3 linked regions of the Oryzias latipes genome follow. The protein of the gene in region 1 purifies or fractionates together with the protein of each later gene. This does not show direct contact. Links are inferred from orthologs where the notes say so. Each region holds a gene or a part of one and is shown in the gene's direction. Other genes may lie near its edges.

Evidence for each region.
Region 2: the proteins of tmem192 (region 1) and acp2 purify together in Homo sapiens (affinity purification with mass spectrometry; 3 studies listed by BioGRID and IntAct, with this or other methods). This does not show direct contact. The link is inferred for Oryzias latipes from reciprocal best matches to the Homo sapiens genes TMEM192 and ACP2.
Region 3: the proteins of tmem192 (region 1) and lamp1 purify together in Homo sapiens (affinity purification with mass spectrometry; 3 studies listed by BioGRID and IntAct, with this or other methods). This does not show direct contact. The link is inferred for Oryzias latipes from reciprocal best matches to the Homo sapiens genes TMEM192 and LAMP1.

Annotation. Positions count from the first base shown.
Region 1 is NC_019859.2:19,547,822-19,551,970, reverse strand, and holds the start of tmem192 (transmembrane protein 192), read left to right. Parts: upstream 1-1,213; 5' UTR 1,214-1,367; coding exon 1,368-1,397; intron 1,398-1,730; coding exon 1,731-1,886; intron 1,887-2,317; coding exon 2,318-2,579; intron 2,580-2,683; coding exon 2,684-2,806; intron 2,807-4,149.
Region 2 is NC_019860.2:17,043,297-17,047,437, reverse strand, and holds the start of acp2 (lysosomal acid phosphatase), read left to right. Parts: upstream 1-1,265; 5' UTR 1,266-1,358; coding exon 1,359-1,439; intron 1,440-2,831; coding exon 2,832-2,927; intron 2,928-4,017; coding exon 4,018-4,104; intron 4,105-4,141.
Region 3 is NC_019861.2:16,437,340-16,440,528, forward strand, and holds the end of lamp1 (lysosome-associated membrane glycoprotein 1), read left to right. Parts: coding exon 1-137; intron 138-854; coding exon 855-980; intron 981-1,053; coding exon 1,054-1,120; intron 1,121-1,202; coding exon 1,203-1,370; intron 1,371-1,519; coding exon 1,520-1,659; 3' UTR 1,660-2,609; downstream 2,610-3,189. Other genes in the region: grtp1 (growth hormone-regulated TBC protein 1), read right to left, coding at 3,051-3,143. UniProt on the Homo sapiens protein: Lysosomal membrane glycoprotein which plays an important role in lysosome biogenesis, lysosomal pH regulation, autophagy and cholesterol homeostasis.

The DNA of each region.
Region 1 (4,149 bases):
TTCTCCTGGACACAGTTCAATTTGTTGTCTTTTATAACAGCTGTATTATGGTTAACAATAAAAACATTTGAAATTGTCATAATTTATTTGCTCTCTGATAATGAGTCCAAATGAGATTTAAGGAACCGGCGTTTTAAAACATCTAAAAAATGTTTAACTTAAATTTCTGTGAAGATTCTTAGACTTCCTAGTCATCTTATCACAGGATTCTGTTACTGAGCTGAACAATAAAAGTTGAGACAAACTGAAGAAGCTACTCGGATGAGCTTTGAAACTTCTACAAGATCAACCTTATATATTCAGTTGCCCTAAAACACGTGTCAAACTCAAGGTGGCCCGCCATGCCATCGTATGTGGCCCGCGAGAGCATAAAAGTTTTTAATTTCTTAGAATAAAAAAATTTAAATTGGTGTGTATTTATTCATATCTTGGGGGAATCAGACTTGAAATATCGGATTGGGCAACTATACATTAGGACTTAAACACTGTCCATATAACCTAACCTGACAGAATAAAATGTAAAAGGATTTATGCTAGAGTAACAAGCAAACGTGTTTTCTACGCAATTGTAATTGTCACTAGAAAAAGTTATAGTAAATAAATAATGAGTTATTTAACATTAAGGAGTAGTTACGTTTATTTGTCATTACATTTTGTTACATGTATAAGTTATATTCTTTTGAGGACAGCAACTATGCTGATGTGGCCCTTGGTGAAAATGGGTTTGACACACCTGCCCTTAAAGAACAGAATCCCGGTTGAACCTGTGTGAAAAAAATGTATTGTTTTTTTTTCTTTTTTCGCTGAAGTGAAAATATTTTGTACAATAGAGAAAAAGAAAAATGCCTAAATGACTTTCTCATTATGATCAGGTTTTGTGGTTTCCCTTAACACAAAGCAGTCTCAGTGTACAACAAGCAGTCTATACTAAAAGTAAAGCAGATTACTTGAAGTTTACTTTTTATGTATTATCTAGTATACTTCAACCACTACAGGAACATGGTCTGTAATTTACTTGCAATAAATATACTCAAGTTTTTGCTAAGAGCTGTGTCATACCCTCCTTGATAAAATAACACGTGCGTGTGTGGGGGGTGTCTTTTGTTTTTTTGTCTACCAAAATTTGGGGTAAATAATTTCCCATATATACACATTTATTAACCTTTTCTGAGTTGCGCTAACTCTCGCTTGTGAAGCGGAACTGTTTAGCCAGGAACAAATGTTCAACAGGAGTCGGACCAGATAAAGACGGAACTAGACTTTGCCGCTGATATTTCACAGTTGTCACTCGACCGGAAATAAACCAATAAGCAATAAAGCCATGTTATATCTTATTGTTTCTTTGGCTGTTTAGGACGACCACATAGATGGACTTCCAAAGACCTTCTGCTCATGTAGTAAGTACTTACTGCTTTACATTAACTAGCAATTAATTACCACCAACTCACCTGACTGCCCAAAATAGTTGCTAGCTAGCACGGTTTGCTAAAAACAATAACTAGGAGCTGCATTGTTTTATTTGTTAGCGACTTCATGACTCCACCATTTGCCTAAACAGGAGCCATCTAATTTTTTAAAACGTTTGTCTAGAGTTGAATTACTGTTCACTTAACAATTTAGCTGCCAAGTAGCTGCTAAATAAGTGATAATTTTATTTTTTTCCATTAAAAAATGTACACTTATCTTTTTCCTTTTTTCTTTACATGTAAACTTTTTCTCTCTCTTTCCAGCAGGCAGGTCCTTCAGTAGATATGACCCAGAGTACAGAGGAGGACACTTTGGTAGACGGACCACTGATCTCTGCTGATGCACTTCATTCTGCCATCAGAAGAGAGTTTCAAACATTGCCAACACATCTTCATGCTGCCTTGCTGTCTCTTCTGCATGTATGACGCCCACATGTAGCTTGTACCTTTTATAAATCATTTTATATTCTCTTTCTGATGCTAATTTGATTCTAAAGAATATTTTCATTGTTTGTGACTGTATTTATTATAAACTGTTGCTAATGTTAGTTTTGTCGGAGGGACTCGCAAAGTTCCTTCAACCTGGATGGGCCATTTGTGGGTGTTTATAAAGAACTCAGCCTTTTTTAATTGTTTATTTTATACTCAGCGTTAAGCTAAAGTTTATGTAAAAACTACATGATATATTTTTTATTCTCTAAGTGTCTGCATCGACTTTTAGCTGCAAATGATCTTTTTCCATCTAGGCCCAGTAAGCAATTTGTTTCCTGTTTGTTGTCATAAGACTGTCACGAGGCTTTTCGCACTAAATTGTTCTTTAATGACTTTGTCTCTTTGCTTTTTATTCCTAGATTGTCTTCGTTGTGTTGTCAATATGTGTGGCCGTTCTGTGTGTGCTGAAGTTTGGCCAAGAGGAGAGGTGTATGCACTTTCTGGGAAATGAACCTGGCAACAGCATCATAGTTTACGCAAAGGCGTGTTTGTGGCTGCTGGTCCTGGCGTTCTCCTGCTGTGTGCAGCATCATCACAATAAAGTTCGGGGCAGAGGATACCTGCAATTTTACAGACAAACACAGCAGCTGAAACATCTGCCGTTCACAATACACTCTTCAGGTAGATGTACATTCACTTACTTCTGACGTAAAGTTCATGGATATCCAACAGGTGGCAGTAAAGAGTGATTTTTTTTTTGTTTTGTTTTGTTTTTGTCTAAATAGGAAATGTCTTGATGTTGATATTTCTGACTGTCAGATTGTCCCAGACGGTGCGTACCTACATGCTTCTCAGCATTCTGGGGCTGGAGCTTTTGTTGACTTTTCCATGTCTTCTGTACTACGCAGGTAAAGACACATCTCTTGTTATTGTAATTTGTTTAAGATGGCCACTGATTAAGTGCACACACACAGGAGTTTGTTTCCATCTTTAGAACATATTGTAATGCTGTTTTTTGTTGGTGTTATGCTGCACATCTGTTCATACTGAAGTGTGTCTGGGATTTAACACGTGGTTCACGGGGGGAGGATATCTAATTTTATTCTTGTGGGTAATGAGAGCCTTGCAAGGCCAATGATTATGTAACATGAACTCCATTATATAGCACATTCTATTGAAATGAAACTATAGGAAGAAAGCTCTGGCATAACCAGACCAAGGTGACCATCTGATGTGACTTATTGGGATCACTGAATGACTTGTTAGGCAAAAGAGATGCATTAGAAAAAGCTACAGTTAGATTAGTGTTTTTCAACCAGTGTGCCGCGGCACACTAGTGTGTCGTGGGAGATGGTCAGGTGTGCTGTGGTAAATTGCCCTCATAAACTGATCCAAAAACATTTACCATCTTTAGGATATCAGCTCTTTGTTCATCCAAACAGGTCCTGATAAAACACTGAGAAATTAGAAATATGAAAAATCGTAAAATAATTTTTTCTTTGTGTTTATTTTATTATTATTAAAGACATTTTGATAAGAATGACGGTACCACGATTTATCAGGAAAAGTCTGTATCAGGAAAAGTCCCGCCCCTTTAACTGTCTCCACCAATCATTCTTGGAGGCTTAATCACATGTCATCACTCTGACCAATCAGAAGTGGTTAAAGTCTTCACTTCCTTGTTCCGATTCTGCTCATAAAGTTTCTCAGTTCTAACAAAAATACCAGCAAAAGCTCGTCTTTAGCGGTGTAGCCTTCCACAAAATCCGGTGTCAGACGGTGGAACAATTGAACAAAACAATGAAGCTCAGAGACGCTAGTCTTTCTGAGTTCGGCTGATTTTTGCACTACATGTCCCATGATGCATTGGGTTAAAGTGACAGCGTCTCGGCGCTCCTCTTAACGTCTTGAAACCACAACGAACGCACATCAAACAGTTTTTAAATCTTCTAACTTAACTTTTATTACATCTTTTAGAAAAAACAGCTGCAGCTTCCAGCTTTTTCTGCCACAATTATCACAAAAATGCATGTGAGATTGCAGAGAGGCTGTAGATCAATACAGACTATGAGTTTGTCCTTTTTTTTTTTTTTTTTTTTGGATGCTGGTGTGCCACGGGATTTTTGTCAAGGTTAAAGTGTGCCATGGCTCAAAAAAGGTTGAAAAACACTGAGTTAGATGATGAAGCAGTCCAGAGCAAAATTACTGGAACACTGGTTATCTGACAAAACAAAAAACATTTAAGTGAGAA
Region 2 (4,141 bases), on another chromosome or scaffold:
AGGAAATCTCTGACATATTTGTGTGGGGTCAGGGTCATGACCTACAAAAAACAGCAAGGCATTGTTAATGATTGACATCTTTGTTGGACCAAAGTAATTGGCGGAAGATGGCATTTAAAAGTCAAATTAACCCAACCTCCAAGTTTATGTGACTGATAATCTTGAGTTACTGTCATTATTTAAAGTTTGGATCAAATGGATATCTTAATATGAAAATAACTCTTTTATTATCCCTCCAGCAATCAGCTATCTTAAGAAGACACTTCTGAATAGTGTTCATTATTTAAAGGTTTAGTGATTATTTGCTAAAAAATGTGAAATGTGTTAATAACAACAGATACACAGACGGTATTACAGGAACGCACAGTTCTTTGAGCGACAACACTGGCCTCTAGTGTCAGGAAGGATGAATGCCAGGTAACTATTTTCTGATTAAAAAGTAGACTTTGGAATGTTTGATTTGTTTATAAGGGCTAATCTTCAGAAAGAAATGCATTTCATTTTGTATGAAAAAGTGGGTCAATTTTTAGAATATATTGGGCAGGAGGAACTCTAACTTAATGAATATTTAAATAAAAGAGGAAAAAGGAAGATTATTGATTTTAAAACCAATTGCTTTCTTTTCATTTTAATTCATTGTTATATACAAAAACATGCAAATAAATGCCTGCTTTTAAAAATATTTTTACCACTTACATGTTTTGAATAGATAATATTTTTGTAAAGCGTTTTATTATATTTGTCTTCAAATAAGAAGATAAATAAGAACATTAGTTATCAAATATATCAAATCCAAAAGACAGTTAATTTTCCTCATTTATTAAATCCTAAAGTGGGTTAATTATGTGTAAGAAAAAATGTAAAAAAAAATAAACATTAAAAAAAAGATTTGGACCTGATGTTGCTTTTGACAGTATTTGGAAATATCAACATAAAGAAAAGATTATTAATCAAACACGAATGAAGTTGTCCACTAAAATCGCCCAATTTTACTGAAAAACAGCTTGAACAGTCATAAGACATTAAGCAAATTGCTGAACTTCCCTTTTTAAAAAAATCACTGTGTCAAAATAAAAGCAGTGTCATGTAACTTCTACCTTTTTGTCTTCTAAAAGAGCACGTTCGCTTAAAAAATGAATAAAAACTTAAAAATGTTCTGAAATTTGAACAATAAATGCTTCCCAAACATGAATTTTTTGTATTTTATTTATCCTTCTCCAATTTTAGGTATTCTTTAACACTTTCACTTCCGGTTTCTCCACCAATGAGAGATGCATAAACGGGACGGTCGGAGGAGCCGCCGCCGCCGCGCTGCTTAGCACAGCTCTTCTGCAGAAAGCGGAGCCACGGACGGAGTCATGATGGTGTCCTCCGTCGTGCTTTTCGTCTTCGCCGTGGCTTCCGCGGTCGCGGAGAAAAAACTGGTGTTTGTGACAGTGGTAAGTATTTACGAGTGGGGGGATAATGGCGTTAAACTCACGTACTTTTTTTCGACAATAAATATTTTTTTTTTTACGTTTGGAGACACAAAAAAACTTTTCAAAAAATACTCAGTGTTTCTGTAAATTCGTTATAGAAATGCAAATAAACATTTAATAAATAAAAAATATATCCTTTTGGCATATTTTGCTTTTTTCCTCGAATGAATTTTGTCCTTGCGGTAAATACACTATCAGCTAGCTAGCTAACAGATAAACTAATTTAAGCGTTTGCTAGTTTTTACGAATTAAAAAAGTTATGTAGTACATTGATTAGTTATTAAATATATTGTTTTTTTAGCATAAAAATAGTATTTAATCGTATCCTACGGTGTTATTCGTGTAAAAAGTCAATGTAGTGAACATGTGATAAAATACCAGAAAAAGTTAGTAGAAATTTATACTACAGTCATGTAAACAGAAGATAAGGGGTTGCTGATGGAGGAATATACGTTTTTTTTATTTCTTTCTACCTTGTTTCAGTTCATTTTTGACTTTTGTTTATAATGTTCCTCCTTTTTCTTTCTTTGGAGTAATTGTTTACATTCTCTTCTTTTCAAGCGAAACCAATGGCTGTGTTATCTGTCTGACCTTATATGCAGATGACCTGAAAACACAAAGAAGCAGTTTAGATCTCACTCCACTGATCTAATGTCACAGATGAATACATTTTTAGTAAAATAGAACCGCTTTAACTAGATACTTCTGTTTTCTTTTAATCTGCAGCCAAAAGCGGCACAGTCTAATTCCTGTTCTTATTCTTAGACCACTAATTTCCTTCTGCAGTAAACTCTTCCTAAAGCGAACGAGATTAGGGCCTCAATAAACGATATAATCCTCACCACAAAAAGAGATTATGCACTTTTCTTTTTGCAGTTGTTAGACGCTTCAGTCTAGCATGTCGGATTTCTCACCTTGTTGTTTTTTTGGTCTTTTTGGTGGTTTGGCATTTAGGGAATGAGACATTTTTAAAGTTTTGAACTGGTTTTTAAACCAAAGTTCACTTCAGCAGAGCGTGTCGAGGCTTTTAGGGCCCCGTTTAGAGTTTGGTGTTTATTTTCCTATAAGTGTGCCGTCAGCTGACTGAATGTCATAACCGCCACTGCTGCAGATAAAAGCAGAACAAAGGTTTTGGCGGGGGTATATTTCATTAAAAACTGCCCTAGATTTTTCTTTATAAGTGCACGTATTTGTCTGAGGGTTTGATCAACTTTTTCTGTTTTTCTTCAGATTCTGTGCTGCGTCGCTTGAGTTGATGGACATCCTTTCGAATATTGGAAATTTTTGAGTTGATGTTGTGCAACAATCGTGTCACCTGATGTGTTTCCTTTTGCTTGCTTTTCATGTCTTCAGCTGTTTCGACACGGTGACCGATCGCCTGTCAAAGCCTATCCCACTGACCCCTACCAGGAGAGTGCCTGGCCTCAAGGCTTTGGGCAGCTTTCTCAGGTATGTGGACTGACTTGCATACTCCGTAAAGTTTGGACACACCAAAAAATCTCAAACATCTGCCTTTTGATATGGAAAAATCTGCATTTAAAAATCACCTTAACTTTGTTTAAATCTTCATTTTTAGTGGGGTAATTATTGTGAACTGGAAGAATTTGCCTGCAGCCCCATACCACCAAACTTCCACCCTCGTGCTTAACAATAGAAACTGCCTAAGCTGGAAAGATTTGGAGGTTTATAAACGCGTCAGCTAAATGTAACCAAGTCATTTTCAACGGCCTGAATCAGTGTGTTTTCTTTCTGAGACCTGGTTCATTTATTATTGTGATGAGCCTTTTCTCACTCATTTGTCCTCTTATTTAGGAAATTCTCAAGCAGTTTTTTTCTTTATTAAAAAATGTTTTCTAAGGTTTAACTCATAACTTTCATTATTTAGTTATTTTAAAAATATATATCAGTAATACTTTAATTATATGTGGGTGGGGTTTAGCAGTGAATACAGTCTAAAGAATATGTTAAAAAAAACACTATTACAATCACATGATTGCAGTTTTTGTGTGTGATTTCAGATCAAGCATGAATATTAACTTCACTATAAAACATCCCTCATTTATTTCTTTTTAGGATTAAAAAAGTCTTAAAGAATACATTAAATATTTTCCATAAAACAATTGGTTGGGGTTTGATGGGATTTGAAGTCTTAAACGGGTCATTAGATCATTAGAGTTAGAAATCCTCCTGGACCCATTTGTGGCCAAACAAATTCAGCGAAACTAAACTTTCTGAACCTCCTTCCCAATGAAATATTATTTAATACCAGGATTCTGGAACAGTTGGAGAGTTTTATCATTTTATGGTCCTTAATTTCACTTGATGGAACCATTTTTCCATCAAGCTAAATGCTAAAGGGTTGTTTGGTTGGATTTTATATAAACACATGAAAATAAGAAATGCTCAAATAGAAGAGACAGCATTGTAATAAAGATTTGTCAGTTTTGATTCCTTTTTCTGTTTATTTTTGGGGAGAACTTAACTAGGATTGACATAAAATCTTGCAGAACCTTCTGGACTTCTTTTTTCTGCTCTATAGGAGGGGATGAGGCAGCACTTTGAGCTGGGTCAGTACCTGAGGTCTCGCTACAAGAACTTCCTGAATGAATCTTATGTTCGGCACGAGGTGAGAAGCGGATTCCTCTGAAAACCTCTGCGGTCAC
Region 3 (3,189 bases), on another chromosome or scaffold:
CCACTCCGTCACCAACTCCAGCAGGAACTCCCGAACAGGGTTCCTACTCCGTGAAGAACGCCAGCGGCACTGTGTGTCTCATGGCCAAAATGGGAGTGCAGCTCAATGTCAGCTACTTCTCTCAGTCTCAGAATAAGGTAAGACACAGCAGTTTCTATAGTTTAAGGGGTCATAAAACATGTAGATTGAAGGAACTTTGACCTCAGAATTTGGTCATGTCATTGGATTGGAATAGTTTGTGCTGCTGAACCAACAACACTTGTTAAAATTGAGCTTAAGTGAACTACAACTCTGAAATCTTTGAGTAATAGTTCCCCAAGTTTTCTGAAGGACTTCAGTTATGTCAATTAAGTTTTTTGGTTCTTTTTAAACAATTCTTTTAAAATGTTTCTCCTGGTCTAGCTGTTTTGTGCTGACCTTTGACTCAGCTGCTAGAAATGAAGCATGTGTTGATTTTAAATGTATAATGTGACCACAATTTATTTTTAAAAGTATGAACCTTTTGTGTGTCTTTGGTGTTTTTGAAATGGTTTCAGAAAACACAAAAACTTGGGGAGGGGGTTATCGTTTTGCTTCATAAGCAACACTTGGGGTTTCATCTCAAGTTGGGCTTTTTTCTTTAGGGTTGCCATAGTGACTCATCCACATCCTCACAACCATCTCCTCTATTTATATTTATGTATTTGGCTTGGTTTAAGTTGGATGCTCTTCACAACACAGCCCTCTACAGTTACGGTCCTGGAGATGGAAGCTTTTGACCAAGAAGCTCCAGAAAGAAAGTTTGAACAAACGAGGAGCCACGGAAGACATGTGCAGAGCTGTTCATTAATCACTGCAGCTTTTCTCCCTCTCAGACTGTCCAGGAGCTGCTGAACCTGACTCCTAATCTGACCAGCTCCTCTGGATTGTGTGGAGGCACCAATGCCACCTTGGTTTTGGCACAAGAGGAGACCACTGTGCTCAGCTTCCTCTTCACTGTGGTACGTTCATCAATTATCTTTGACATTTAACTCTATTTCTATTCTTCTGACAAATCCTTCTTCTCTTCCACAGAACTCAACATCCAACAAGTACCATCTAAGCGGGATAACTCTGCAAGCGAACTGGACTGACATGATGTGTACGTTACCCGGTCTTTTTCCACATGCGTCATTTTTGTTTTAGACTTTGAACTGAGGTTGAGGTTCTCGTCTTCTGCACAGCTCCCTTCTCAGCCAGTAACACCAGTCTGGATTACCTGAGGAGTTCTCTGGGACACTCCTACATGTGTAACGCCGAACAAACTCTCTTTGTGGTGTCTACGTTCTCCATCAATATGTTTGAACTACAGGTTCAACCGTTTGGCGTCACATCCACCCAGTTTGCCTCAGGTTAGAGCTTCCTTTTCTTAGATTTGAGCTTTAAGAAACTTCAAAACTGTTCACATGGACAGCAGACATGTACAAAGTCAGAGTAATGAACATTTATCATGTTGGCACAGTTCTAAGGCGATAACACTTCTTTGTGTGTCTGTGTGCAGCTGAAGTGTGTCAAATAGACCAGGATCAAATGTTGATTCCCATCATCGTTGGAGCGGCTCTGGCTGGGCTGGTGCTGATTGTCCTCATCGCATACCTAATAGGCCGAAAGAGAAGCCACGCTGGATACCAGACCATATGAGGCCACTTTGTCCTGCACCGAACAGACTGAACCTGAATGAGAACGCTGTGGATGCAGGAGTTCATCAGTTCATCCAAATGATTCTTTTCTAAATGTTTGTGGATGGTTGGAAAAGCCCAGTTCATCTTAGATTTGTTCGTCTGACTTCTGATCACAGATTGGATGAGTTTAAAACACATTTATCTTAAATATTGATTCATTTCTATTGATGGCATAAAATCATTTTTTTTCTGAAACCATTTTTAGCAGTAATAAAATTGACTGGGCAGAGGGAGTGAAGCAGAAAAGCTAGTGCGGAGTGAATTTCCTTTTGTCCACAGGGATACTTTCAGCCTTAAAGAATATTATGTTGTAAAAGGGAAAGCTCTGAATATTCCTCCACATTGAAGATCAGCTAATCCGATTTTTGGCCTTAGCTTTTTTGTGTATGTCCAGTAAAAGCAAAATGCTATATTTTTAAGGAAAGCACCCTGATTAAATAAAAGCTTTGCACATTAAGTTTCATCTTTTCCTGTTTGGAGTTGAATTGCTAAAGTCTGTCATAGTCAGTGTCCAAACCCCAGAGAAAGTGGTTACTCTTTGCCTTTAATCCTGTGAAAAGTGGTTGTTTTCCAGCAGCTACTTCTCACTAATTTCAGGAAATGTTAGCTTAACTGCCTCATTTTTGTAAAAACTTTTCATGTGTTTCACACTTGGTTGACGTGTTTTGATGTTTCCGTTTTCAAATGCTGATCAGTCTTGAAAGTCTGTATAAACTGCTCAAAGTTTTTTTTTTTTTAGTGCAACTTTAAAATCCCGTGTTGAGGCCACATGCAGTCAGTGCACGGATGCTTTTCCTTCAGAAGAAATGTTGGGGGGGAAAAACTGCGACGTGAACCTTTATTTTTCTAGAAAATGCTTGGTCTTGTTTTCTATCATGATTACTCCAACTGAATAAAATGTAAATTTAAGACTTGTGAATGAATCATTTGCTCTTTTTAATCAACTGTGCATTTCATCACACAATCCTCAGCTAGAATCAGTGCTCTCCAGAGGAGTAAAGTGGTAAAGGTTAGCACAGTCACATTATAAAGAAACACTTAGCTAAAGCACTACTTGAATATTTACAGACCATCTTCTAAGCATCTATTTGAAATTCAAAAATGACTCTGTCAACTCTTCAGTTACTCAGAGAAGATCACAGAATAAGTTCTTCATAGCTAGCGTTTGATTCCCCTTGATGGCATCTAATACATCCTGGACTAAAGTGCTTGATTCCACATTGAAGTCAAATATATTTTTAAATCATTTGAAATGATCAGCTTATACTTCACTTTTCTTGAGAAGATTTTAAGACGAGGTTAACAGTGACTCGGTTCCAAAGTTAAATGTGCAAACAGGCTGCTATAAGATCAGGATTCTTCAGCGACGATTCGAGCTCGACACGTCGTCCGCAGTTTGGTCAGCGTGGCCTTGGAGAGGCTTCCGGGTTCACTGAAGATTTTCTGAGGACGAGGATTTCAATGTTATTATTCTGTTGGGGAATAATGG